Sus scrofa: one gene and its partners. The protein of the gene in region 1 purifies or fractionates together with the protein of each later gene. This does not show direct contact. Links are inferred from orthologs where the notes say so. Each region holds a gene or a part of one and is shown on either strand. Other genes may lie near its edges.

Evidence for each region.
Region 2: the proteins of RAF1 (region 1) and CALU purify together in Homo sapiens (affinity purification with mass spectrometry; 3 studies listed by BioGRID and IntAct, with this or other methods). This does not show direct contact. The link is inferred for Sus scrofa from reciprocal best matches to the Homo sapiens genes RAF1 and CALU.
Region 3: the proteins of RAF1 (region 1) and AKAP8L purify together in Homo sapiens (affinity purification with mass spectrometry; 3 studies listed by BioGRID and IntAct, with this or other methods). This does not show direct contact. The link is inferred for Sus scrofa from reciprocal best matches to the Homo sapiens genes RAF1 and AKAP8L.
Region 4: the proteins of RAF1 (region 1) and CDC25A purify together in Homo sapiens (affinity purification with western blotting; 3 studies listed by BioGRID and IntAct, with this or other methods). This does not show direct contact. The link is inferred for Sus scrofa from reciprocal best matches to the Homo sapiens genes RAF1 and CDC25A.
Region 5: the proteins of RAF1 (region 1) and LRRC59 purify together in Homo sapiens (affinity purification with mass spectrometry; 3 studies listed by BioGRID and IntAct, with this or other methods). This does not show direct contact. The link is inferred for Sus scrofa from reciprocal best matches to the Homo sapiens genes RAF1 and LRRC59.
Region 6: the proteins of RAF1 (region 1) and DICER1 purify together in Homo sapiens (affinity purification with mass spectrometry; 3 studies listed by BioGRID and IntAct, with this or other methods). This does not show direct contact. The link is inferred for Sus scrofa from reciprocal best matches to the Homo sapiens genes RAF1 and DICER1.
Region 7: the proteins of RAF1 (region 1) and TCP1 purify together in Homo sapiens (affinity purification with mass spectrometry; 3 studies listed by BioGRID and IntAct, with this or other methods). This does not show direct contact. The link is inferred for Sus scrofa from reciprocal best matches to the Homo sapiens genes RAF1 and TCP1.

What each region holds. Positions count from the first base shown.
Region 1 is NC_010455.5:68,598,906-68,602,405, forward strand, and holds part of RAF1 (RAF proto-oncogene serine/threonine-protein kinase), read right to left. Parts: intron 3,154-3,500; coding exon 3,055-3,153; intron 876-3,054; coding exon 722-875; intron 135-721; coding exon 75-134; intron 1-74. UniProt on the Homo sapiens protein: Serine/threonine-protein kinase that acts as a regulatory link between the membrane-associated Ras GTPases and the MAPK/ERK cascade, and this critical regulatory link functions as a switch determining cell fate decisions including proliferation, differentiation, apoptosis, survival and oncogenic transformation.
Region 2 is NC_010460.4:19,851,805-19,855,304, forward strand, and holds part of CALU (calumenin), read right to left. Parts: intron 294-3,500; coding exon 127-293; intron 1-126. UniProt on the Homo sapiens protein: Involved in regulation of vitamin K-dependent carboxylation of multiple N-terminal glutamate residues. Seems to inhibit gamma-carboxylase GGCX. Binds 7 calcium ions with a low affinity.
Region 3 is NC_010444.4:62,194,735-62,198,234, reverse strand, and holds part of AKAP8L (A-kinase anchor protein 8-like), read right to left. Parts: intron 1,787-3,500; coding exon 1,754-1,786; intron 1,476-1,753; coding exon 1,235-1,475; intron 32-1,234; coding exon 1-31. UniProt on the Homo sapiens protein: Could play a role in constitutive transport element (CTE)-mediated gene expression by association with DHX9. Increases CTE-dependent nuclear unspliced mRNA export.
Region 4 is NW_018085145.1:101,417-105,660, reverse strand, and holds the start of CDC25A (M-phase inducer phosphatase 1), read right to left. Parts: upstream 2,801-4,244; 5' UTR 2,307-2,800; coding exon 2,137-2,306; intron 1,156-2,136; coding exon 1,082-1,155; intron 1-1,081. UniProt on the Homo sapiens protein: Tyrosine protein phosphatase which functions as a dosage-dependent inducer of mitotic progression. Directly dephosphorylates CDK1 and stimulates its kinase activity. Also dephosphorylates CDK2 in complex with cyclin-E, in vitro.
Region 5 is NC_010454.4:26,691,468-26,695,749, reverse strand, and holds the start of LRRC59 (leucine-rich repeat-containing protein 59), read left to right. Parts: upstream 1-1,482; 5' UTR 1,483-1,689; coding exon 1,690-1,794; intron 1,795-3,557; coding exon 3,558-3,617; exon of another isoform or gene 3,618-4,282.
Region 6 is NC_010449.5:116,433,621-116,437,601, reverse strand, and holds the start of DICER1 (endoribonuclease Dicer), read left to right. Parts: upstream 1-1,181; 5' UTR 1,182-1,281; exon of another isoform or gene 1,282-1,442; intron 1,443-3,981. UniProt on the Homo sapiens protein: Double-stranded RNA (dsRNA) endoribonuclease playing a central role in short dsRNA-mediated post-transcriptional gene silencing.
Region 7 is NC_010443.5:7,588,836-7,592,939, reverse strand, and holds the start of TCP1 (T-complex protein 1 subunit alpha), read right to left. Parts: upstream 2,801-4,104; 5' UTR 2,616-2,800; coding exon 2,552-2,615; intron 1,394-2,551; coding exon 1,308-1,393; intron 1,098-1,307; coding exon 969-1,097; intron 26-968; coding exon 1-25. Other genes in the region: MRPL18 (39S ribosomal protein L18, mitochondrial), read left to right, coding at 2,953-3,028, 4,063-4,104. UniProt on the Homo sapiens protein: Component of the chaperonin-containing T-complex (TRiC), a molecular chaperone complex that assists the folding of actin, tubulin and other proteins upon ATP hydrolysis.

The DNA of each region.
Region 1 (3,500 bases):
ATAGTCTACTGTCTGACAGTCTTAGCAATCCTGTTAATTTAAAAGAAAGCAAAGGCATGAAGAAAAATACCTACTCTTCCCCTCAAACAAAATCGTCTGGACCACGCCCTGGGAGAAGCATTCAGGCTGTTATTCTAGTCCAAAGCAATGAGAAATAAAGAAGAATAAAGAACAAAGGAAGTATTTTATGTATTCAGTTGTTATTAAAGATGAACTAGAAAGCAAACCAAACAAATAGAACATACAAAAAAAGCCAAGAAAAGAAAAAGCAGTTTGAAAACACCAGGCTTTAGGCACCTTTATATTTCCCTAAATACCTAAAATCCTATAACTCTACCCTTTCATTTCTAAATAAAATCACTTAAAAGTCTTTCAGAGAGTTTGTACCTCTCTACCACTATTATTTTCTTTTCCAAACCAGAAAGAAACTACTCCTTATAGACCTTATTCACTAGTTCACTGAAATCCTACTCTAATCTGATATGGAAAGAATGAATTCAATTTGAAATTTTAGTTCTCCCCTCGACTGATACACTAACCAGATTATTAAACCAATTTCAAGATGTAATGAATAAGAAAAGAAATTTTAAAAGTCCAGGAATTTGAGAAAGTGCTACAACATTCCTTATCAGGTTTAAAACCCAGAACTCTCTGACACAACAGTAAACCCCAATCAAATAGCTGACTGATAATCTTTACCACCCGCAAGGGGCCCCATTACCTCAATCATCCTGCTGTCCACAGGCAGGGTGGTGCTGACCATGTGGACATTGGGTGTGGACGTCGACCTCTGCCGCTGGGAGAGGGAACCTTCAGAGGAAGGGCTGGAGGTGTTGAATGTGAAAGCATGGGGTGTGGAGTATCTGTGCTGGGAACTAGTAGAGAGAAGGAGAAAGAAAATTCCGTGACTGATACTGAGCTTTCTGTACAGGCAGTCTTTCGAGTATCTACTTCATTAAGATACTTGGGACAAACCCTACTTGAACTACAACCTTTGACAAAAAAATGTTCCTTTTTTTCAATATGCACCATTTATTTTAGAAAAGGAAATATACATGCTTGGAATTCATGTGAAAAGAAATGATACATTATTAGTTTTCTTCTATTTAATAAACCACCTCTACAGAATACTCTAAATTTTAGACAACCTCTGAGAGAGATTAACAGTTACCAACCATACTACCCTCTACTAAGCTAGCTGGGACTTATTCAGGTTAATTATGAGACCAAATTAGAAAACTTTAAAGAAGTTTTTTTTAAACAGATGGTCAGACCTACTAAGCATGTCTACAAACAGGCCAGAATTTTATCCACTGTGAATCCTCTCCCCCATAAACAGCTCACAAAGTCAATTAACGTGAGCTGAGTTTTTAGGTTTCAATACCTAACTGTGAAATGTATCACTGGCCTCTTTTACCCAAAACCACTCTCCCACCAACCAAACTGGGAACATGCATTAGGTATAAGATTTTCATTATTTGCTCAAAAGATTACTCTGAGTTCTATTCAGATTCAAGCAGCACCATGCATGAATTCAAGGGACAAAAAGATGGTTTTTCTAAAAGAAACTGCTTTACTTCCTTGAAAGACTGCCTTTCCAGGCAATTCAACACTAATGCTCTCAGAACCCCAGTTTCTTCCATCTAAATGTATCTAAATCTTCAAAAGCAAGCAGTTCCTTTCTTTTTTGGCCACACTATGCAGCGGCATGATAAGGAATCTCAGTTCCCAGACCAGGCAGCGAACCTGGGCCACAGTGGTGAAACCACCAGGTCCTGACCACTAACAAGACCACCAGGGAACTGACAATTACAGTTTTTCAGTCAGACTTGCTTTTCAAATTATCAAGAAAAATAGAAGTCATATACAAACACATCTAGATTATCAATTCAGATTCTTTGTTCTAAAATATGCTACCTTTAACAAATTTCATGATAGGTTTACAAAGGCCATTAAATGTTTTATGAATATGGAGTTCCTGTCATGGCTCAGCAGTTAGTTAACATGACTAGCATCCATGAGGATGTGGGTTCGAACCCTTGCCTCGCTCAGTGGGTTAAGGATCTGGTGTTGCCATAAGCTGTGGTATAGGTCTCAGACTCAGCTCAGATCCCATGTTGCTGTGGCGTAGGCTGGTGGCTTCAGCTCCAATTCAACCCCTAGCCTGGGAACTTCCATATGCCACGGGTGCAGCCCTAAAAAGACCCCCCCCCAAAAAAAAATTATGAATATATATAAAGTCAGATACTTTGAATAAAGACGTAGATTTGTTTTTGGTTCCAAATTCATGTGTAACACTGAGACATGTTAACTCAAAGCTTAAAACAGCTTTTAGGAGTTCCCTTTGTGGCTCAGTGGTTAATGAACCCAACTGGGATCCATGAGCATGAGGGTTTGATCCCTGGCCTCAATCAGTGAGTTAAGGATCTGGCATTGCCATGAGTTATGGTGTAGGTTGAAGGCGCGGCTTGGATATGGTGTTGCTGTGGCTGTGGTGTAGGCCAGTGGCTGCAGCTCCCATTGGACTCCTAACCTGGGAACCGCCATATGCCGCAGGTTAGCCCTAAAAAGACACATAAATAAATAAAAATAAAATAGATATTATACTAACATCTAATTAGATGCTTTTAAAGAGAGCAGTTTATTAGGTACCATGGTTTTAGCAATGTAAGCCTACAATAAGTAATTCAAAGTTGAGAGTTTTACTTTTATTGAATCACTATTTACTGTTTTGGGACCCTTTCCCTGAGGCTCACTGCACATGCATAATGAGGAAGGCAAAAATCTCAAGTTCTTTAAAACGTAATGAGAACAAAGGGACATGCTAGGATAACAGAATAAACTATAGTCACAGTCACTTTCCAGAATTCAAGAACTACAGGACCACAAAGAACTACGTTTTGCTCTAACACCAACACTGGGGTCCACAGAAGCAGCAAAGGGTTTACACAGGGCGGAAGGAACGCAAGGAAACTCCTGTCTTTTGCATCCATGCTTTCAATCCCACCCACACCAATAAAACCTTCCAAAAGAAAAGCAGTAGATAAAAAATACCTAACAGGCATCCGGGAAACAGATTCTCGCATCCGACGCATTGTCAAAGAAGGCAGTGCTGGGACCCCACTATCACCAACAGTGGAATTTGGGAACAATCTAAATGAAATCAGAGAAAGACTGGTTTATAGACTTGTGGTAATAATTTTACAGTCAGCCTGCCTGGCCTTGCAAACTCATAACTACTCAGGCCGAACTATTCCTAGTCACATTTTCTTGGACCATTTGGGCTACCAGAGTAAAGGGACTACCAAACCAAGTGACTGAGTATGAATGACTACGGAATGTGAAAAATCCTGACTTGCCAGTGAACACAGAGTCTCTAATGTGCATTTCTAGGAAATGCTGCTTCAATGTCCAGCTGTATCAAAATAATTTTTTCAAAAGCTATACACAGTAGGGCACTTTATAACTAACCTAAATCATGCAGAGCTTTTCTGGAAACA
Region 2 (3,500 bases), on another chromosome or scaffold:
TTGGACTCAATTTGGCCAGTACTTGTACAGCAAGTCATTCTTCTAAATACAGAAGAAAGGCTAAAAAGGAAGAGTGTAAGCAACAAAAAGTGAAAATTTCCACTGGGAACCCTTGCTCTCACCCACCTGCACTACTATATCTTTCATGTAATCATACTCCTCAGGGTGCAGGAAAGCTGTGAATTCCTCCTTTGTGGCAATGAGGTCTCCATCCTTGTCTGCCATTTTAAACCTCCGCTCATCTCTAACCATCATCTGTTTATAGTTAAATCCATCATCAGGATCTGGATCATCTAGAAAACAAAAATAGAGGTCAAATCTTAAAAGACTTCCAGAAAACACAAAAATGTACGGGAATCAATTTCCAAGAAATATAAACCAAGCAGTAAAGGGTTAACTCTTGATTACGCAGCAGTATAAAGACATTCAGTTTTCGTAATCAAAGATCTCGAAGTCAGATCCGAGTTGAATGAAATGCTTGCCATTCAACATGGAACCCTGGCTTCGGGGCTATATGACCTATTGTTTAATGCTTCACTGGTATTGGTGCAAAAGCTACTAGAGGGTTTGCGTTTTCTAGTCATATCCAAGAAGCAGTGGTGGTTCTAAAGTCATACTGTTATACCACTTAGCCATGTGACCTTGGGCAAGTAACTGAACTGTGCTTCAATTTCCTCATCTGTAAAATGGAGCTAACAACAGTGCTGACCTCACAGGATTGTTTTGAGGTTTGAATAAGTAAGAAGTGTGCCTGGCACAGAGTTGGCTTTTAATAAATGTAAGCTATGTTTATTAAACATTAGGCTCTGATTAAGAAGTCAGATATCAAAAGCCTTCTATCCCATCACAGGCTATGTGGAGTCAAGTACCAGAACATCACCACTTTGAAAGGTCATACTTTACAGTTTTTTTCAGCCAACTCAGAAATATACCATGAGATACAAGTCCTGTTCACTACTTCCCCTCTCCGATTTTTGTAAAATCCTAGAAAATGAAAACAAATCTAGAGCTATAGAAAATACTCCAGTGGTTGCCCAGGGACAGAGCATGGGAAAAGTGGGGATTATAAAGGGACACAAGGAAACTTTTGGGGCGAAGGAAATGTTGATTTATTTTGATTATAGCAATGAATTAGCAGATGTATACACATATCAAAACCCATAAATTGTGATTTTAAGTATATTCAATGAAAATTCATTGAGTAATTAAAAATGAATAAATAAATAATAAGTATATTCAGTACATTGTATGTTGGTTATACTTCAATAAAGCTATTATAAAAAATAAATGTTAGATTATAACCACATTGAATTTTGGACCTATCTGTGAGGATGTTGAACTGCACAAGCAGTAGTTTAGAATCTAGAAAAACAAACTTAGTTTCTTTAAGTTGGGAAAAAAAATATGAAGGAGTTAATGACAGAAAAGGAAAAAAAAAAAAAAAACAACAAAACAACACTTTACAATCTCAATTGCTGTGTGGACCAAATAAGATAACATGTGAACATATTTTGAAAAGTAAAAGATGCCTGGAGTTCCCTGGTGGCTCTGCAGGTTAAGGATCCAGTTTTGTCACTGCACTGGCTCGGTTCACTGCTTTGGTGTGGGTTTGATCCCTGGCCCCGGAATTTTTGCATGCTGGGGGCATGATAAAAACAAAAGAGGAGTTCCCGTCGTGGCTCAGTGGTAACAGGCACGATTAGTATCCATGAGGACACAGGTTCGATCCTTGGCCTCACTCAGTGGGTTAAGGGTCCGGCATTGCTGTGAATCATGGTGTAGGTCAGATGTGGCTCGGATCCAGCATTGCTGTGGCTGTGGCACTGGCTGGCAGCTACAGTTTCGATTCGAACCCTATGCTGGGAACTTCCACATGCCATGGGTGTGGCCCGAGAGGAAAAAAAAAAAAAAGACAAAAACACTACCAAAAAAAAGAAAGGTTTCTGCAACATACCGATCATGTAAGAAAAGATATAGCACTAGTGCACTAGTTTTATAAAAAAATTCAGAACCCCTTAACAGTAACATTACACTGTTGACTCTTTTTTTTGCCTTCTTTTTTTTTTCTAGGGCCGCTTCCCGGGGCATGTGGCGGTTCTCAGACTAGGGGCCCAATCGGAGCTGTAGCCACCGGCCTACGCCACAGCCACAGCCATGTGGGATCCGAGCTGCATCTGCGACCTACACCACAGCTCACAGCAACGCTGGATCCTTAACCCCCTGAGCAAGGCCAGGGATCGAAACCGAAACCTCATGGTTCCTAGTCGGATTCGTTAACCACTGAGCCATGATGGAAACTCCTACACTGTTGACTTTTGATACCATAGTTCAATCTTTCCATACTTTAATCTTTCCAAACAACAATAAACTACTGCTCTATTTTAAGAGTTGAGCAACTTGAAGCTTCATTCTTTGTTGAGTGTCAAAATTCAGTAAGACAGTTTACTAAATCATGAGGCTTTGGGGGCCCTATATGTGTATACTCAATATAAATAAGAGATAACAGAAGACAACTTATATATTTAGACTAGTTTTTCAACTAAGAGCCCTTCTCTCCTCCTTTGGTAAAACACAGCAACTGGAATCAAGTAGCCCAATAACATGCACATAGATAAGGATGAAAAAAGATATAAAACTTTATTATTTTTATTTTCTTTTTGTTTCTTTTTATAGCCACACCTATGGGATATGGAAGTTCCTGGGCTGGGGGTCAAATTGGAGCTGTAGCAGTCAGATCAACACTGGATCTGAGCCGCATCTGTGACCTACGCCACAGCTGCTTGGGGCAAAGCCAGATCCTTAACCCATTGAACCAGGCCAGCGATCCAACCTGAATCCTCATGGACACTATACTGTCAGGTTCTTAACCAGCTGAGCCACAACAGCAATTCCTAAATCTTTATTTTTAATGACTGAACTCACGTGGCTATCATCACTGCTCAGAGTGCCATTATCCATCCTAAGTGCCAGTTTACTGGGCCAGCTGGCTGGCACATAGCTATGGGTAAGCTCGTGATCTTGTTTTGGTATAGGCAGGGTGGATATTAGTATCTCATTTTACTTGTGGCAGAGACAGGGTTGATGTTCCTTTTGTGGAAAGCAGATTCATGACAGATATTATTTAAAGCTAGGATGATTTAGGAGTTCCCATTGTGGCTCAGCGGTTAACGAATCTGACTAGCATCCATGAGGACGAAGGTTCAATCCCTGGCCTTGCTTAGAGGGTTAAGGATCTGGCGTTGCCATGAGCTGTGGTGTAGGTCACAGATGCGGCTTGGATCCTATGTTGCTGTGGCAGTGGTGTAGGCCAGCAGCTATAGCTCTGATTCAACCCCTAGCCTAACCTCCATATGCTGCAGGTGCAGCCCTAAAAAACAAAAGAGTGAAAAAATAAAAAGCTATGATGATTTGTAACTGAACCCAAAACTCAATCAAGAACACACTCTCACAAAAAACTCCTCAGCACTTTTGCAAGGTACGTCATTACCCTGAGCACTGTC
Region 3 (3,500 bases), on another chromosome or scaffold:
CCTTGAGTCACAGGCCTCGTAGGAATCATATCTGCAGAGGCAGGTGGCAAGCATCAGGGACGATCTCAGGTCCCATCATCCTATTACTGCCTCTGCCTTCCCCTAAACCTCGTTGTCCTGGGGATAGGAAGACCCACTCCAACACCCATCCTGTCAGAAAGGATCAATGTTCAGATATGCAAATTAAAAGGTCTCTGAGGAACAGAGTTCTAGAAGCCAGAAAGGGCTCTCGGCCAGTGTCCCCAAGCCTGCATGAGGCCACACACCAGCTTGAAGACCCTAAGGGCAAGGGGTAGGCTGGGTAGGCACGTCCCACTCCTCAACACTTTTTGCTTGCTACAGAGCCCATGCACGCAAAAGTCCCCTTGGCACTCTTTGCCCCCTAGTGGTCCTGGGGCCTCACTTGGCCCCACCAGTGCCTGGCCAGGTCCCTCCTTACTCTCTGCTCTTCCCTGTCAGTTGGAGCCATGAGGTTGCTCCCCTCATGGCTGTGCCAAGAGATGCCCTCTTCACTGAAACCTCTCACTAGGGCACAAGAACGCCTGGGCCAGCAGCAGTTTGGACAATGACAAATGCCTACAGCATGATGCTGTGGGGCAGGGCAGATCTGAGTGGGAGGCCCATCTCCACTATTTACTCCTGGGTACCTTTGGGCAAGAGGTGTGACCTGCCCACACTTTACTTTCCCCATCTGCATAGTGAGGACATCAACAGTTCCTCACAGGAACACTTCTGATGTTCAACAAGTACACATTTATAAGTCACCAAAGGGTACCCTTATATGGGATGGTCCAGCTCACTATGGTCAGCCCCAAAGGTTCACTCCAACCTTTACACTCAACCCAATCTGTCCTGCCCTGACAGAAGGCAGGATGCAAAGTATCTCGAGAGCTTCAAATGGTTGTCTCCAGAGGGAGGAGCCATTTAACAATGTTCCTGAGAAGAGTGAAATGGGAGGATTCAGTGAAACCAGCCCAGTCTGGGCTTGTTTCTCCCTCTATAAGCTGGAGGAGAGGCTCACCACTGGGCAATGCAGGAGAATGGAGGGAGAAGAGGACACAGGCCAGAGAAGGGAAGTGCCTTGGACCCCAAGCAGTCTCTGGGAAACCCCAGCAGCAGAGCAAAGAAAAAAGTAGACACAAGAGATAGTTCAGAAGAGGAAGACACCAGGGAACAAGAGACAGGAGGTGACCCGGCAGAGCCTCAACCCCTAGGCAGGTAGATGCCCACTCACCTTTCTCCACCTGAGCTGTACACGCCTCCTTGTATCACATCTGTCTCCAAGTGCGGAACCATATCTAAGCGCTGGTTAATTCTGGACAAAACGGAATCGGCACTGGCACTACCCATGGCACTAGGGTTTGCATTTGTGTCAGAGCTAGGCATTTCCCAAGAGTTTGAAGTGGCCATACCATACCCATAGTTGGTGGTGTTATCCTGGCCATAGCCATAGCCATAACCATAGTTCTCGTAGCCTGCAATGAGGGGGACAGAAAGAGAGACAGACAAGATGGAGGGGGCGAGGAGACAGAGAAACAAACACAAGAGACAGGACATTTTTGGTCAGAGACAAGCTGGGTGGGCCATCGCCATTCTGAAAAGGCCTCCTGTGAAGGAATTGCTGGCCCCAGTGCACCCAGGACCCCCAAAGACAACCCCCACCCTGCAACTTTAACTAGGCTGGGCAGTGGCAGAAACACTCAATCAGTTTAATCCCAAGGAAAAGGAGAGTGATTATGGGAATGATACTTGCCTCTGTTTGTCCCAGAGTTCCAAGTTCCATATCCTATAAAAAGTAAAAGAGAAATTACATCTATAATTGCTTATAAATGCAACAAGAATTCAATTCAGACACAAAGACAATGATTCCCAGCACCTGACTGGTTAGAGACTAAGCCTCGCCTAACTAAGAAGCCTTGAGCTTGCGCTACATAAATGAGCCAGGCCACTTGTTGCCCTGGTGCCTGACTTTGCATGGCTCTGACACTCTGCTATTTATGAACCCCCCATTCCCAGCATTCTCAGCTAAGGAATTTGGCGCCTATACTCTTTCTTTGAAGAGCCTAAATTGGAAGATTATTCCTGCTCCCAGCTAAGTACCAATCTGAGGAAGAGGAGAGCAGTTTCCAATGCCTCATACACTCTATGCTGTACAAGAAGCTCAGCACAGAGCTCATACCCACTCAAACTCTGTCAATCAAATCACCCAACAAAGTTATCTGGAGCAGAGAAACTGACTGCCCTAGTCCCACAAATGTTTAACTTAATAGGAAGAACCAGGAGTTCCTTTGTGGCATATAGGTTAAGGATCCTGTATTGTCACTGCAGTGGCTTGAGTCATTCCTGTGGTGCAGGTTCAATTCCTGACCAGGGAACTTCCACATGCCACAAGCACAGCTGGGGGAGGGGGGGGAATCCAAAAACAGAAACAAAAAATCCCCAAAACATGGAGAAACACCACCAAGCCCGTGAACTGTGTGAGTGTGCTTGGAACACATAAGTAGAGGGAAAGACAAGATACCACTCTCAGCTTGAAAAAAGCTGTTAAGAGAACAATCAGGATTATAAACTAAATATGTTTTGAATTTTATCAGACACATAAGGAAAATTCATTCCTTCAGAAACATAAAGCCACTGAAAACTAACAAACTGCAAAAAAACAAGTGGGAACTCTGAGTCAAGCAGACATGATTCTTCCAGAAGGAGTCCATAAGAACAGGTCACCACCTTCCCAGTGTCTGATGGGACCCCCAGAGTCATCTACTCCACACTGTTCCTGCCCTGCAGACAGATAGGCCATGCTAATCCTAGGGCAGGGACCAAACCTCAGTGAGATGGCAGTGAGATGAAAAATAGAATCCAGCCACAGGAAAGCAAGAGTTCATACACTGAGAATATGAACCAGAGCAAATGGGGATGGGGACAGTGGGTCAGTCAAGGTTCTACACTCAAGTTCCTCCTCAATCAGGTACACAAATGAATGGAGAGGCATTGGAAAACAGCGAGGAACTTTGGTCACTATTCTAATGAACCACAGGCATGCTAGAGCTCACAAAGCAAAAATCTTCTTCAGCTGTGGAAACCAAAAGCAGGGGCTTCTTATTCCTTTATTCGACAATTACCATCCTCAGAGCAAACAGAACAAAGTGTGGCAGTCCTGGGCACTCCTCAGACCCAGAGCACTGCTATTAAAGGAGGCAGGAAATAAGAGAGCAGCAAGGGCTGGAAATCACATAAGAAGGGAGTGGTATACGAAGCTTTTCTTTCTTTTTTGGGGGGGTCCTTTTTATTTTGTTTTGTTTTTGTCTTTTTAAGGCCTCACCTGCAGCATATGGAAGTTCCCAGGCTAGGGGTTGAATCGGAGCAATAGCTGCTGGCCTACAACACAGCCACAGAAACACCAGATCCAAGCTGCATCTCTGACCTACACCACAGCTCACGGCAACACTAAATCCTTAACACACTGAGCAAGGCCAGGGATGGAACCTGCATCCTCATGG
Region 4 (4,244 bases), on another chromosome or scaffold:
TGGTTATTCAGATAGGGATGACCCAAGCTAACTTTCTGTGAGTTCCAACCATGGAAAGAATTAAGTACCCATTTTCTGAATAGTTTTGATTTCAAGTATCTTATCAGGGGTTTGGGAAATACAGTTGTCATCCGACAAGCAAGGCAAGTATTGCCTTCAACAGAATAACACCAAGTCAAGTCAAGTGCAAGGTAGCACAATAGGAAACATTGCTCAGCATGGTCCAGACTCCTTAAGGTTGCCTAGCCCACAACCTTTCCTCCATGATGCCTAGATACCCACACAGTAAGTAACTTGTTGCTACTCCTGACTGACATTCTCCCTTGCCACAATGACATAAATAAGAATCGTTATCTGTGGTTCTTAAGGAGCCTACATCTTAAGACTTTTCACTTGTAGTTCCCTAACCTAAAGCATCTATGCAAATAAATAAAGCATGAACTTATGGGTTAGAATAAAATGCTCTGGCACATTTTCTCCAGGGTCACTGAAATAATTTCATTATACTGCCAATAATTTGACCCAGCATTTAACCAGTAAAATTTCTGAATGCCACTCATAGTGGTTTAAATTTTACTCTACTACTCACCCTCAGGACCAAGCACACGAGTTCACGTTGTGGCACAGTGGTTAACGAACCCGACTAGGAACCATGAGGTTGTGGGTTTGATTCCTGGCCTTGCTCAGTGGGTTAAGAATTGGCGTGGCTGTGAACTGTGGTGTAGGTCGCAGACACAGCTCAGATCCTGAGTTGCTGTGGCCATGGCATAGGCCTGCAGCTACAGCTCCGATTAGACCCCTAGCCTGGGAACCTCCATATGCCGCAGGAGTGGCCCTAGAAAAGGCAAAAAGACAAAAAAAAAAAAAAAAAAGACCAAGCACACACTTCCTTGGGACCACTTGACATAAAGTACCACAGGGCCTCCTTTGTATCTTAAGGGTATCTGTCACTCAAAGTCATGCTTCTGTTTACTATCTCAACTACTCACCAAACTAAGTTTCTAGGTGAAAGCACATTTCAGCAAATTCTAGGTATTGCTCCGCACCCAGCAGACACATGACAAATGTCTTAAACCAATACCTGAATCAGTTGATTCGGAGGAGCCCATTCTCTGCAGACTGCTGTTCCTCACCTCCAGTGTTTGTTCATACTCACTGAAAACAAGAGAAATAACTGTCTATAGCTCTAGGACATAATTAAGGTTAAAACAGGAGGAAGGCCATGAGGTTAGCAAGTAGCCATGCTGCCACCAACCATCATTACTTCTAGGCCACATCACAGAACACTTGGCCACTCAGGACTTAAGCATAAAAGGAAATGAGAAATAAGTGGGTTGGCATGGCCTGGCACAGGATGACTATGATCAATTACTGGAGTACTTCCCGGAAGGAGAGCATGTGTTCTAGGTACCCAGCTAGAAGCAGGAATGAGTAGGACAAGTTCCTGCTTTTCAGAGGATGGAAGACGTGCTTATTTAGAAAATGGGATATCTAAGATTGAAGAGAAAGCAGCTTCACCAGAAAAACGATGCGATGCATTTTTTGCAATTAAGAAAATTCAGGGAGCTTCTGAGTGTGGAAAATCGAGTAAAAAGATCTGGCCGTAGGAAAACATAGGATGCACATAGGAAATGAGCATGGGGCGAGGGACTGAGATAATTTTGCAAACACCAGGAAAGAAACCGGGGCAAAGAGACGTTTCCTTCTCAGCAAATGTCGCTTTGTTCAGAAGGAAACAAAGCTCACAGGCAACTAAAGTCCTGAGAGATGGTTCAGCATAGGGTGGAAGTGAGGAGGACTTGCTTTCCCTCCGTGGAGGTAGATTTCAAAAAAGTTCCTGGGATAGGAACAGAAGAAGGGGACAGGGAAAATGAAAGGGATGGCGAAGGTGGGAAACCATAGCAGTCCCCACCCGCTACCGGGCCTGGCTCGGGGCTGAGGGCGGCCCTGGAGAGGTCCGAACAGACTCTCCCGCTCAACATTCGGTCTGGGGGCTGGGGGGAGGGTGCACATGGCGGGCCCCGCCGGCGGGGCCGCCCCCTAAGGGACCAAGTCTCGCTCTTCTCCGGGTCCGTTCTCCCGAGAGCCATCTGGGAGGCCAGCGGCCTGCGGCACCGCTCGCCGGTCCCTTCTCACCTGCCCAGTCCCTGCAGCTGATCCATGGTGACCGTCAGGTTGGTGACAGGCGACAGGCCCCCGGCGGCTGGCGTACCGAACAGCGCCTTCACGACAGGTTGCGGCACGGGAGGGGGGCTGCAGGCAAAGAGCAGGCGGCGGCGGTGCGGGGGCTCGGGGCCCAGTTCCATGGCGGCGCCCGGCCTCCCAGGGATCCCGCTCCCTCTTCCTCCGCCGCGCCCTCCCCGCCCCGCCGGCACTGGCCTCGGCCGCGCGCCTCGCCGTCAGCGCCCGCGGGTCAAACACAAACACGACCCCGAGTTTCAGGGACGCGACTGTCTCGGGCAAGCTGCGCGGACGGGCGGGTGTTCGGACTCTGCAGGCGCCAGCTTCTGGCACGGGTGTTTCCCCTCACTCCGCGAGGCCGGCGGGAGGGCGGGCGGGCGCCGGCAACCTGAAGATTAAATCCAAACGAACGGGGTGGGGGGTCGGGGAGGGAGAGCGGCCAGAGCTGCGAGGCAACGGCCCGGGCTCACAAGCTCTTCGCTTTTTTCTCACTCTCTTGCCCAGTCCGAGGACGCAGAGAACCAAGCTGGCTTTCACCTATCTCCCAAGCTGTCGCTGCCGAGGTGGCTTTTCGCGGTAATAGCTGCTCACAGGGGCCTGCTGCCGCCCCGCCCCCCTGTCCAAGTTGGCGCCAAACGGAATCCGCCAATCAGTAATCAACTTCTCTTCCTCGCTTAGGAATGGCAGCCAGGCTGAGCCAATGAGAAGGGAAGAAGGGAACAGCTCGCGGGACTCTGCGAGGTCACCCCCCCTTCCTCAGAAAGGGGAGGGGCCTACAGGGGACAAGAGCCCCTTCGAATGAGAGGGGTGTAGAGGTCAATACAAACTCCCAGCGAAACCTGCGAGGAGGCCAGACGAGACCGGAAGGCCTCTATTGGCCCGTTGCATGCTGGGAAGCGTAGTTCCCGGAGCGCTGCCTCCAGTCATCTCTTAACCCGTTAGGCGAAAGCTGTATCGGCTCTCGGTGGAGAGTGGAGAAGGACTTCCGGGCCTCTTTTCGGCCCCGGGCCGCCAGGCCCAAATTTTATAAGAAAAGAGGGAACTGAATGATCCAAGGCCTGGGCTCTGCCTCCTGAAAACCAGGGCCCAATTCCAGAGCCTAAGACTATGGTATAGCTGGCTGTCTTGGCCATGAGCCACTGACGACAAGATTTAACCCGACTGCTTCGGCTGTGGGCCTTGGTGTTCTTTGCTCACTTTCATTTTAGCTCTTAAATATTTTGTTAGGATCATTTCCTTCTCTCCCACCCTTTCTTACTTCTTTAGGAGCTCCTAGATAACAATACCATAAATATAATAATAGCTAATGCTTTTTTTGTTTTTTGTCTTTTTGCCTTTTCTTGAGCCACACCCGCGGCATATGGAGGTTCCCAGGCTAGGGGTCTAATCAGAGCTACAGCTGCACCACAGCCACAGCAATGCCAGATCGGAGCCATGTCTATGACCTACACGGCAGCTCACCACAAGGCCAGATCCTTAAATCCACTGAGCAAGGCCAGGGATGGAACCCACAATCTCATGGTTCCTAGTCGGATTCGTTTCCACTGTGCCACTACAGAAACTCCATAGATGACCATATTTGTTGCTATATCCCCTGCACCAGTGGCAACTCCAAGAATGAATGATTTTATGAGAGAGGCAGAGGTACAGCAATAAGTCCTTAAGAGGTCTTGTCCAAAAAATAAATAAATAAATAAATAAAATTAGAAAAAAAGAGTTCTCGTCATGACTCAGTGGTTCACGAATCCGACTAGGAACCACGAGTTTGCGGGTTGGATCCCTGGCCTTGCTCAGTGGGTTAAGGATCTGGCCTTGCCATTATCTGTGTTATAAGTCACAGACGCAGCTTGGATCCAGCATTGCTGTGGCTCTAGCATAGGCCTGCAGCTACAGCTTCAATTAGACCCCTAACCTGGGAACCTCCATATGCCGAGAGTTCGGTCCTAGAAAAAGACAAAAAAAAAAAAAAAAGAGGTCTTGTCTTATTTATTTACTTATTTATTTGTTCATTTTTGTCTTTTCTAGGGCTGCATCCGCGGCGTATTGGAGGTTCCCAGGCTAGG
Region 5 (4,282 bases), on another chromosome or scaffold:
AGGCGAAACCCCTGCCATCACAACCCATTAGGAGGAAAGTCGCACAAAGGTAAGTATAACGGTGGATTAGGAGTGAAAGCTAGTATTGACTGGGTACTTACTAAGTGCCAGACACTGATGTAAGTTCTTCATGTATTTTACTAATTCAGTCCTCCTCAAACTCTATCAGCCGGGTACCATTATAATGCTTGTTTGTAGGTAATGTATGGTGACTGCTTAAGGATTCATAAACCCCAGGGAAGGTTTCCTGAAGGACTAGGAATTAGCTAGGTAGCAAAGGTAGGTCGGAAGGCAGGGCCATTCCAAGACCAGGGAAGGTGTGGATGCCACCTACTGGAAGTCTCTGAAGTATCCCTGGCTGGGGCCAGGGCTTGTCAGAAAGTTGCAGGAACACACAGGATTCAGTCTAGAAAAGAGAGTGGTCCATATCCTACAGACAGCTGGAGGTTTGAAGGGTTTTAAGCAAAGGAGAGACTTGGCTAGATTTTTAGAAATATCATGTGGGCAGCTGGGTGGAGGTGGATGAGAGGTAGAGACACTGTGAGTAGTAATCCAGGCGTAAGTTGCTGGTCCCAGGGCTTGGGGAGGTAAGGAGGAGGTGAGAGAGAGAGGCAAAGTTTTCCGGACGATGATGATGATTTGGGGATTGTTAGTTAAATAGGGGACAGAGCAATTTTGAAGGACATCTAGTTTCTGCTCCTAATCCAGAAGAATGGGGAAAATCTGGTGAGGTAAGTTTTGGATGTGAGCTCCTCCAGCCCCCAGCCTTTTTTTTTTTTTTTTGTCTTTTTGCTATTTCTTGGGCCGTTCCCGCGGCATATGGAGGTTCCCAGGCCAGGGGTCCAATCGGAGCTGTAGCTGCCGGCCTAGCCTAGGCCAGAGCCACAGCAATGCAGGATCCGAGCCGCGCCTGCAACCTACACCACAGCTCACCGCAACGCCGGATCGTTAACCCACTGAGCAAGGGCAGGAACCGAACCCGCAATCTCATGGTTCCTGGTCGGAACCACTGCGCCACGACGGGAACTCCAGCCCCCAGCCTTTTTGCCTTCTGGCGTTGCCTGAGGCTACTGCCAGCCGGCGCCCTTCCCGCCACCCGGATACCCAGCTGCTCAGGGGGCGGGCAACAGAAAGAGCCTGAACCAGGAGTTCCCATTCTGGCGCAGAGAAAACCAATCCGACTAGTATTCCTGAAGACACGGGTTCCAACCCGCTCAGCGGGTTGGGGATCTCGCGTTGCAGTGAGTTGTGGTGTAGGTCGCAGACACGGCTGGGATCCCGCGTTACTGTGGCTGTGGCATGGAGAACTTTCATATGCCGCGGATGCCCTAAAAAAAAAGAGCCTGAACCGGCGCCCTCGGCCGTGCCCGGGACAGCAGTGCGCCATCCTGTGCGCCAGAGGGCGCTCCCGAACATGCTCTGGCCGCTCTGGCCCAGCCTGTCTCAGTGGCCGCGGAAGGTGACGTGGACACGGAAGTGGTCGTCGTCGCGGCGGCACCGGTGGGAACGGGGTGCGGGGCTCAGAGTGCGGCCGGCGGGCGGACGGTCGGCGGTGATCTCGCACCTGCGGCGGCGGGGGACGTAGGCTTTGTCGGTTGAGTGCGCGTCCCCTCAGTCCACGAGCGGCTTCTCAGCCTTTCTCCTGCCCGTCGGAGCCCCGGGGCCGGGACCCGTTCAGCCGGCGTCACCATGACCAAGGCCGGTAGCAAGGGCGGGAACCTCCGCGACAAGCTTGACGGCAACGAGCTGGACCTGAGCCTCAGCGACCTGAATGAGGTCCCTGTCAAGGAGCTGGTCAGTACGGTCCCTCGAGGCCCAAGGCGCCGGTCCTCGACTGGCGCTGGCCCCTGGTGGGGGGGGGTCTCCTTCCTTCCCAAGCTTCAGTTTCCATGGCTTAAAACGAGGTGGGGGAAGTGGGACTAAGTCCTCGGGGAGGCCGCGTCCAGCCCCAGCGTTCTTCCTGGGATGTACACGTGTCACTTTGGCGCAGGTCCAGAAGATGGGAGGTTAGCTGCTGGTGTAGCCATGGGCTTTTTACGGGTCAGGAGTGAATCTTCGTGCATTTCAAGAGCTTTCAGGGAACTTCGCTCCGTGCCCGACCCAGAGTAGGCGCCCACGGAGAGATTGCTTGATGTTTTGGGAGAATGAATGAACAAATGAATGAGTGACTCGTCAGAGTAGGCCTCCGGGTAGACCTGGGTGTGGCTCAGAACCAGGCCTTTCTAGGAAGCGACCAATCCCAGCTGGCTGTCCCAGCCTTGAGGCGTCCTTCCTTGAGAGTGAAATGTCACTGCTTGGTTGGCAAGGTCTCTTCCCAACTCTGAAACTGGCGGGAATCTGCACCAGGGTGGCCCCCCCCCCCCCACTCCCACAACCAGGAAAACAGGCTGAGGCCCAAGGGACATTACCTGACTAGTTTGTTGCCAAAGTGAAGTTAATGTACATCCTTGCTTTGCCCACCTAGTTCCCCACCCTTATCCCCCACAGTAGCGTCGCTTTGGATGACCTGCACTTTCGTCACTGTCTCTAACTGATCATATTTGCTTTTGGCACTTGGCCCAGTCTTCCCTCCACCTTGGCTGTGTAGTATCCAGGTTAGAATGGGATTCCCAGTTCGTAGATCAGCTGTATTGCTTAATGGCTTAGTACCCTTGGCAGGCTAGTTAACCTTTGAGCCTAGATTATCCTCCTTTATAACACGGTGATAGTTGTTGCTATCTCATAGGGCTGTTGGGAGGACTAAATACAATTGTAATGTAAACTACTTGGCAGGTAGCAAATGCTCATACATGTAGGTATTACCAAGGTGTGCTTCCCATTGTAATAGCTCAAACTTTTTTAGGTCGTCAGATGTCATTCTTGGGACTTTCTGACATTTGGAAAGTGCAGAGTTGACCCAATATCCTTAACCGAATATTTGCCTTCTTCCTGGCCCCAGGAAGATGGCCAGCCATGTGTCAGCCTGGCCCTAGGACTGCCATCTGAAAGCACTTACTCCAGGCATCTGGTTGACACAACATCGCCCCCGGGAGACGGAAGGATTAGTTTTGCTGAGCTTCTCCAAGCTGAACCCCATGGGAAAACAGAGCTGGGATGTGAGGGCCTTATTTTACTTTGCACTCACTCATGTACTCATTCATTCAGTCGTGGATCAGCCAACGGGTATATGGAGAAGAGCCTTGACCTAGAGAATATGGAAATCACAAAGCTGTTTGACAGAGTCCCTGCCCTGAACCTAATCGGGAGCAGTACTAGAGGGAATAGTAGGAGTGCCATGGAGAATTTCTAAGAATCTGTTTTCCTTTCTTGGAAAGGAATCCCTGCTCTTTGCATTCATCTCTCTGTCCTGGTTGACTCTGACTGGCTTATTTTGCCTTTCCTGTCTCCAGGAACATTATACTTTAGAGGTTTTTTTTTTTTTTTTTTTTTTTTTTTTTTTTTTTTTTTTAAGGTCTTTTCTAATCGTGGGGACTTTCTCTGGAAATTGCTTCATTAGCAGATGTCACTGAATTGTTCCATGTGTTGATCTGACGTTTTGTTCTCATTCCCTTTCCTAGGCTGCCCTCTCCAAGGCCACCATACTGGATCTGTCCTGCAATAAACTGACTACTCTACCGGTAAGACTGGCAGGGAGCCTTCATGCTTCTCCTTCTTATTTGGCGGAGTTACATCATAAGGCATAATTTCAGGATAGGCCTGCCAGCAGGCTACCACTAAATTGGAGTGTGTTGGGGGTAGAAGCGGGGAGGTTCATCTCAGTAGGAAGGGAAGCATGGTAGAGGCCGCTTTCTTTAAGAACAGTGGGAAAGTCAGGCCACCAAAAACGAAAGTCACCAGAACATTTGGCTGAGTCGCTTGTTGGGGTCATGTTTTTTTTCCTGCCTTATTTTATTCCTTTGAGAAATAGTTTACCTCCCTATTGCAGTAGAAGAGGCAAGAGACGATTCTGTAAGTTGCTCTGCATTCCAGAGAGAATGCTGTTTCTGAACAGCCTCTCCGTGCATCTTTTGATGGGGAATGGGAAAAAGCATAGTTCTGTGGGACTTGCCATATCATCCTCCCGACACCTGAATTACTTGAGATAATGTTTCCAGTCGAATCCTTCTGATTTTTCTTGTGCAACTTCTCCTGCTTCTTTTGCTCCACCTGTGAAAGCGTAGGAGTCATTCAGCCCCCTCGACCTCTCCTGGGTATGGGCTGGTTTCTCCTCCATGGCGGTGGTCCTGCACCGTCAGGCCTAAGTTTGTTGTCATTATTGCCTTTTCCATCCATTACTCTGGCC
Region 6 (3,981 bases), on another chromosome or scaffold:
GCGGCTTCCTTGCTGGAGGTTATCCACCTTCTTCTTCTGTTAAAACGGGGGGCATTTACAGCATAAAAATCACATAAAAATCAAACCTTACAACAGCCTGCCCAACAGCAATATAGTGCGAGTCACATACGACTTTAAACACTTTCTATTTCTAGTACATACACCAAAAAAATAAAAGCAAACGAAACCATTATTTATCCCCATATACCAAAAACACTATCACTTCAACTTGTCATCAATATCATACCCGTTAGGGAGAGGTTCTGCATTCTCTTTTTGGGTAAAGAATACATACATCTGAGTATCAGCTATCATATCTCCACTGGGACTAGCCATACTTTTAAGTGCTCAATATAGCAGGTGCTAAGTGCTAATTCTTAGAAGCGTGGCTGCTATTACCATACCTCATCTGGAGTAAGCCACTGTACCACGTGAGTCATCTGGAAGACGGGCCTACATTTTGGGATAAAGTCATAGGATTTGCCTTTAGCCAGTCACTTCCTGGACCTCCACGTTTTAACTCACAGCCACAAAACACACGGTTCCGATCTAAGCAAATGAACAGTTCGCATAAATGGGGCCGCTGCCCCCTCTCATGTGCAGGTTATCTCAGTTGCGAGACGGGGGTGAGGGTGGGATGAGTCGTCACCCCAAATGCGGGGGGCCCAGCACCACTAACCCCGGGGGGGGAAAAGCAGGCGAATGGGAAAGTCCTTTAAAAAGGGGAAGGGCTGGTAAAAGGAGCGCCGAGCCCTTCGGAGAACAATTACGGCCGTGGGGCAGGGCCACGTTCCGGGGATGTGGGTGCCAGAAGGGGCAACAATGGAGGCGGGCGAATTCCGCGAGCCAGCAGATTCTGCCGAGCCAAGCGAGCGTCCGCAGCCCCGGCCCGCGGGCCCTTGCAGGGCCGCGAAAGTGCCGAGCCGCAGGCGGTGGAACGTCCGGGTTGGGTCTGGGCTCTGGGCCGCAAACGCCGCCTGGGCCTCCACCGCGCGAGTCCACTGTCTCCCGGCTCCTGAGTGGCTGGGGGGCCGGGGTTAACCTTTCACCGCCGCGCTCTGTCCAATCACAGGCTCGCTCTCATGCCGGCGCGGGGCGAGCGGAGCGTGGGGGCGCGGAGGGGGCGGTGCGGGCGCGGGTGGGATTCTCCAAGCTGCTGTGCGCCGTTGCCGCGGGCCTTGCGCGGGCTGCGGGCGAGCCGGCCGCTGCGCAGTCTCCGCAGCCGCCGGCGGGAGGGGTCGAGGCGGAGGCGCGGCGCGGCGCAGGCTGCTCCAGGCCCAGGTGAATGGAGTAACCTGACAGCGGGGACGAGGCGACGGCGAGCGGGAGGAAATGGCGGCGGCGGCGGCGGCGCCGGGCGGCACCGGGAGGCCTGGGTTGTGACGCGCGCGCCGAAGCGGGGTCCGATGGTTCTCGAAGGCCCGCGGCGCCCCGTGCTGCAGGTGAGGCGTGCTCCCGCGGAGCCGCTTTGTGTCCAGGGCGGGGAGCGGCTCCGCCCGGCCCCGCGCCCGCCTCTGCGCGGAGGCCCGCGTGGGCGCCCGGGCCTGGGCCCCGCGGTGGGGGGACCGGCGCGGGCAGATGGCGCGGCCTCGCCTGGTCCTGGACGGCGCGGCCTGCGGGGCTGGCGTCCACCCCGCCGGGCTCTGCGCCTCCCCGACCCCGGCGCCCGTCCCGAGTCGGCGCTTCGGAGGGACTTTGTGCGGTCGCCCAGGCACCGGATAGGGACGCGGGCGCCTCCGCTGCGGGCGTGGGGCCGGTCCTCGCCGCTCGCCCCGGGCCCGCGGAGAGCGGGGCTTTGACAGGTCCTGTTAACGCACGCGGCAGTGGTGCGGGATCAGCAGCCCCGTCCCGGGAGCATCCTCGGGACCCGGTGGTGGCGGTGGCTGCGCTGGGCCTCCTCGATGGACACCTTCGAGGGGGCCAGGAGGGAAGGAAGCCGGGCCGTCTGTGCTGGCAGGAAAGTGCGAGCCTCTGGGGCGCGCCCTTCGAGAATTGTTCGTGTTTACTGGCAGGTGACCAGATCTGGGTCCCCAGGGGCCGGTGACCGAGGCCATCTTTCCCCCCACCCCTCCTCTCCAGTGTTTTTGTGCCAGATCGCCTGGACCCTGCAAAGGAGCCTTTCTTAAGGGTTTTTAAATCTGCTTTGGGAAATCAGTGTATGTTTCAAGTTAGCATAGTAGATTTTTTTGTAGATTGTCCAGAAGAGCTGAGCTGCCTGGTGGCTTTGCCCGCGGTACAGAGCTAACTAACCACTTAATGTATCTTTAATAGCTTGAAGATTTGCAAAAACCGAGACGAGCGGAGAGTCCTTGCTGTAGAGTTCAACCTGTGCTTTTGGGAGGAAAAGTCCTGCTGAAAGGGGCACATTACTGACTCATCTAAGTCTGAAGTATTGCGACTATCACGATTTAAAAGCGTTCATCTGATTCAACAGTATTACTCTGGAGTCTGTGCTTCTTGCGGTGCTTTGGCCTTTGACTTTTCTGAGTCGTCACAATCCTGATTTTCAGTTGTCTTCTTGTTGCTTGTTTTTTCAAGTGCAGCACAGTGAGTGGAAAAGGGCACAAGTCAGGAGTTAAGTAACTTGGAAATTATTTTTTTTAATGTGCTTTAAATAAAAGGCTAACCACATTGAAAGAGTATTGGCATAAACATTAAATTTTCTAAATAAAAATACCCATCTTTGCCAAGAGCTCCAATAATTTGTTAGAGGATGAATGACGGGACAAGATTCTGAATGTGCTGCTAGTGAATAGTAATTTTAGTATTAGTATCTTTGGGAAGTAGGTTCTGGAATAATCAGTTTATTTTGCAAAGCATTGTCTTTAAAGCTTGCTGTCCCTCTGGGGCATATGTATATTGTAAGTAATATATGAAACATATATGGTTACTTCAGAACTTCATTTCAGGACATATTTTATAAAACTATAGGTTAGAAACACTGCAGAGATTGCCTTTAATATGTCACTATGGATACTTAAATGGCAATGAGGGATTTATTCAAGGCATCAAAATGCTGTTTTAAGAAAAGATGTCCACGTTTCATTTGGGGAGCAAAGCCCTCCTTTTTCTGCAGTAAGGGCTTGCTTTCCTTTTTATGCTGTCTTCTCATCATTAAAGGCTAGTTCTGCTTCTTGTATTATGCCTGTGGGTCTGTGTGTGAGTTGTATGTGAAGTGGTTTTGCCATTGCTGAATTGTATTGTCTTGGTTTTAGAAGACATTTTTATCTTGATGTGGCTCATGATCCTAATTTGACAGTGATTTTGTGGTGGTGTGCAGTGGGTAGTACTTTTAAAGTACTCCTGTCTTCAAGAAGGCTGACCTTTAAGGCACTGAGATATTTATTCCCTGCCGCTCTGGGACAGATGGAGGAGATACTTGTTTCATTTGAGAAAGTAGGTATTTCATGGACATTCAACTTAATGTTGTCTTATTTTATTTATTTATTTTTTTTGTCTTTTTTTTTGCTATTTCTTGGGCCGCTCCCGAGGCATATGGAGGTTCCCAGGCTAGGGGTCCAATCGGAGCTATAGCCACCGGCCTACGCCAGAGCCACAGCAACGTGGGATCCGAGCCGTGTCTGCAACCTACACCACAGCTCACGGCAACGCCAGATCGTTAACCCACTGAGCAAGGGCAGGGACCGAACCCACAACCTCATGGTTCCTAGTGGGATTCGTTAACCACTGCGCCACGACGGGAACTCCATGTTGTCTTATTTTACATGCAAGGAAGCTAAGACTTAGAGGGTTCTGACTCTAGAAGTGACAGAGCCAGGATTGGATCCTGCTCTGATTTCACAGTCTTTACGTGTGGGCGCTTATCCTTGCGTTGCATTGCATCGCTGCTGCAAGTGGACTTGAGGTGAAAAACCTGCATAAGTTGCACGTAAGTCCTTAGTTAATACTTGCTGAATGAATTGAAACTGTCTCACCTTAAGTGTCCAGGTGACCTTTGATTATCTGAATTACTTAACATTT
Region 7 (4,104 bases), on another chromosome or scaffold:
TCAGCAGTTCTGCTGCAATAATAACCTGCAGAGAGAACATTCATTGCTCTCATGTTAGCCTGACATCATGGACGGCGCACACATAAAAACACTGCCACGCATCAGATGTTCATCACCACAAAGTAAAGACAGTGAAAAGGCTACCTCATTATCACAATCCTGTAAACCAACCGCACAGCAATAAAACTTTAAAAAAATCCTTCTGAGAACACCAAAATTATTTTCATTTAAAAACACCAAAAAAACCCTCATCTATTTCTTTTGAGAAAATTAAAGTCATTTAAAAAACTATATTACTATGAACAGTTACTAGCAAAAACCATTTCCATTATTTCAGAAGAGCTAGATTCCATTCTTTCATAGCTTAAAGTTTAATCCAGAAAGAGATGCCCCCCCCCCACTACTGCTTGCTTCTGTAGAGCAAATTATTTGTTCATTACTACATAACAGCGTCTCTATAACACATCACAGTGTTGGTCCATCTTCAGGTTTATGTCATATTACTGATCACATATTTACCAGATTTCTTGAACTTGTGAGACTGCCTGTCAGCATTTAAAATATAAAAACATCTTGTCTTTAAACACCTGGGAAGGTTTTAGAAATTTCTAAGCCTCAGACTGTAAAAAGAGAAATAAATAACATTTTTCTTCTTCAAAAGAAACCATTCAACAGATGCGTGATGCTTTAATATAAGCACAGCCCAAGGGGAAAAAATGCATAAAAGTTGTAGAAAATTTAAAACAAGAACTATGCTTTTCCCCCCCTACTTGAGTTGTACAAATTAGCCCTAACCATGAGTTTTCAAATTTTCTGAATCACTACCCCTAAAACAACTTAAATTTTCTCCATCTCAAGTATGTAAATTACTTCTGACTCAGAAGCAGAGGAGTTTCTTAGGAGGGTTATGCCTTTACTCTGAAAGTTTAAGGACAAAAACTAGTCCTCGGCCACTAGTCTTTACCTACCACAGAGGTGGTTCCATCCCCCACTTCTTTGTCTTGCAGATCAGCTAGCTCACAGAGAACTTTGGCTGCAGGATGTTCTACCTCCAGTAACTTCAAGATGGTTGCACCATCGTTAGTTATGGTTACATCCTAAGAAATTTCCAGGGAGGGAAAAAATGACACAATCACCTATAGAAACAGAATACCCTCTAAGTTAGCACAGTCCCATTACGATACATTCACCTTTACTAGACTTCCCAAAACCATTCTAATAAAAACAAGTAACTTACACAGCAAAGTATTTACAAATGCTCTTTTTTTCCCTTTAAAGTGACTAACACAACATTTAGACGTACTTACACCAATATCATCCACTAACATTTTATCCAGGCCGACTGGACCAAGAGAACTTTTCACAATATTAGCAATCGAAGCCGCAGCCATGACTGTAGAAATGAAAAAAGAAATTAGAAAAACCCGGGATTCCAAGAGACAAGCATTTCAGCTCCCCAAAACATAAAGGATATCCAACAGCCTCTGAATTTCTCAAATCTGCAAATCTGTCCAAATTTGGAAATTAGCTAAAGTCTCTGATGGGGAGGGAGAGTAACCAGTAAAGTTCAGTTTGAATTCAACTGCAAAACAGGTGCCAAGTGAATATCCACTTAATTGCTGCATACAATTAAAAAAATATATCTACTAGTCATTTCAGGTTCTGTCACATCACACAAAACAGAAAAAGATAAATATATATTTAAGCCTTTTCCTGCACGTTCTGGCAACTCTTTTAAAGAAAAAAAGGTCTATTGAGATTAATAATCCTTTATCTGTGACTCAAAAAAGCAGAAATCCAGAGGTTATGACTATACTACAAACTCCACCACTACAAAAATCACGTAGGAATCTATCAAAATAACCCTAAGATCGACTAGAGACCGGCTGGAACCTGGCATGCAGGGCTTCAAAGTGTAAACAGTCTCAAGAGAGGCTCAACCACAAATGCTTTAACGGGCTGAAGTTCAGTAGATAAACTCATTTTAATCTTACCCTAACATTCAACAAATTTCATTAGCCAACTATTACCAAATGTGACCAACGACAGGTGGGGACACCGCATCTAACTCCAGATGACAACCGGTGGTGTGCAACGGGCTTGTCTTCTGAACTGTGGGGCCATTCGCTCACCAATAAGAGCAGCAATTAAGGCTGTCTTTTCTGATCAGCAACGCTAAAATGAGACCCAGAAGTTGGGATGGACGCCCCAAACGCGCGGGGCACCGGCCCCAAGAACTCAAGGCGTGGCCGCACGTGTCAGTGCGCGGAACCCTCGCCAGGCCGGGGAGTGCTTCTCAGGCCCAGGGCCGGGCCTCCCCGGCCGACCGCAGCATCCGAGCGGTTCCCGTTAAAAACGTGCCGGCTCTTGGGAACTCCTTCCCTCCGGGAAGAGGGCGCCGCCACCCCGAAGCGGAGAGGCCGGCCGGGGCTGCGATCCCGCGCTGGCGCCTCCCGGGGGCCCCTTTTCGGAGAGAAAAGGCAAAAGGACGACGGCCGAGGGGAATCCGGCGCACCGCTGCGGGCCCCAGACAGGCCTCGCCCGCCCTTACCGTTCTGGGAGCGGATCGCCTCCCCAGTGCTGCGGTCCCCGAACACGGACAAAGGCCCCTCCATCCTCGCGGCAGGGTACACGTCGAGTTTCGGGCACACCGAGGGCAACCTGCGGCGCGGTGCTCCGGCCGGGCGGCAACGGCGTGGAACGGTCCTCAGCGGCGCCGCGGAGGATGCTGGGAACGCCGCTCCTCGCTCACCAGCACCGCCCCACGCCCCGGCCAGGCCGCGGGGCAGGACGGGAAAGAAAGGTGGGGGCGGAGGGTTCGAGAAGCTTGAACGCGCAGGAAGTAAGGAGCCGGAAGGAGGGCGGGTCCAGCCGTTCGCCCAATTAGAAAGCGAATGAGAACGGCGCGAAGGTAGGAGGTCGGAAGTCAGGAACTTGGACCGCTGGCGGAAGATGGTGCTACGCTCAAGCGTTCCTCTGAAACAGGTTGCGCACGCGCGTTTGCACTTTCTAGTGCCTTCTAGAAAAGGTAAGGCGGGGCTTGGAGAGTGACGGGGGACGGGGTGGGCGGGGCCGTTTGAGGTAGACCTGGGGTTCCGAGTCTTTGTTTATAGTTTGTTTTCCTTTAAATGGAGCTCGCACGAAGAGCACGCAGCGAGTCTCTTTTTGTTTCCGGACTCATAAGTAAAAGCTCGAATCTGGATGGGACGGGGCAAGGTTTTCCATGGGCCCTACGGGAAAACGACAGCCACCCTTTTTAAAGAGAAGGGCGTGCGTCCTGCGTTGCCCCTTCTCCCCCACGTGTGTGGAGAGGGGTGCCTGACAATGGTCAATCCACGCCTTCCAACCCGAGGGCCCAAAGAGAGAACACATGCTGCCTTGCGTGCCCGAGACGCCGGACGCCGACAACAAGCGTCCTCTACTTAACGGCTCGCGCCCTCCCCGGAAGTTTGTTGCTGCTAAGTGTTTGGTTGGTTCCGACGCCTGCGTGCGCCCCCAGCGTAAGCGCTGATTGGAGGAACGGAGATGACAGATTGCACTCTCTACCACTCAGCGGCGGGGGGCTTGTTGGTTCCTGTCGAGGCGTCGATGACCTTACGTGAGCCTTAGGCTTTTCCCTAAGTAAACATGGCTGCGCCCAGCGAACCTCTGGGACCCCAGTGAGGAAAGAGGCCTGGTCTGCCCGAGGCTTTGTTTGCGATTCCCTCAACGATGGCGCTTCGGTCGCGATTCTGGGCGTTGTTGTCGATTTGCAGGAACCCGGGTAATTCATCTTACCACTTCTCTTAGATTTCTCCCCAGGTTCGCACAACCAGTGTGCACATGCAAGTCGTATTTCGTAGTCGACATTCCCCATCGAAAAGTAAACCAGTTAATTGTGATGGCTCTAGTAGAAAGTTGCAGACCAATGGCTGTGATGACCACACCCCGTGTCCACACAGCTTTTTGTCCCCTTTCTTGCGCTCAAAGACTGAGGAGAGAGGATGGGGACAGGTTAGATCATATCCCTGTGTTGTCGAATTCATCATTTTGTGAGATCATCGTGGTTGATTCCATTCTTAGGGTGTCGGGCGGCAGCGCTCTCAACCAGTTGTAAGCCAGCGA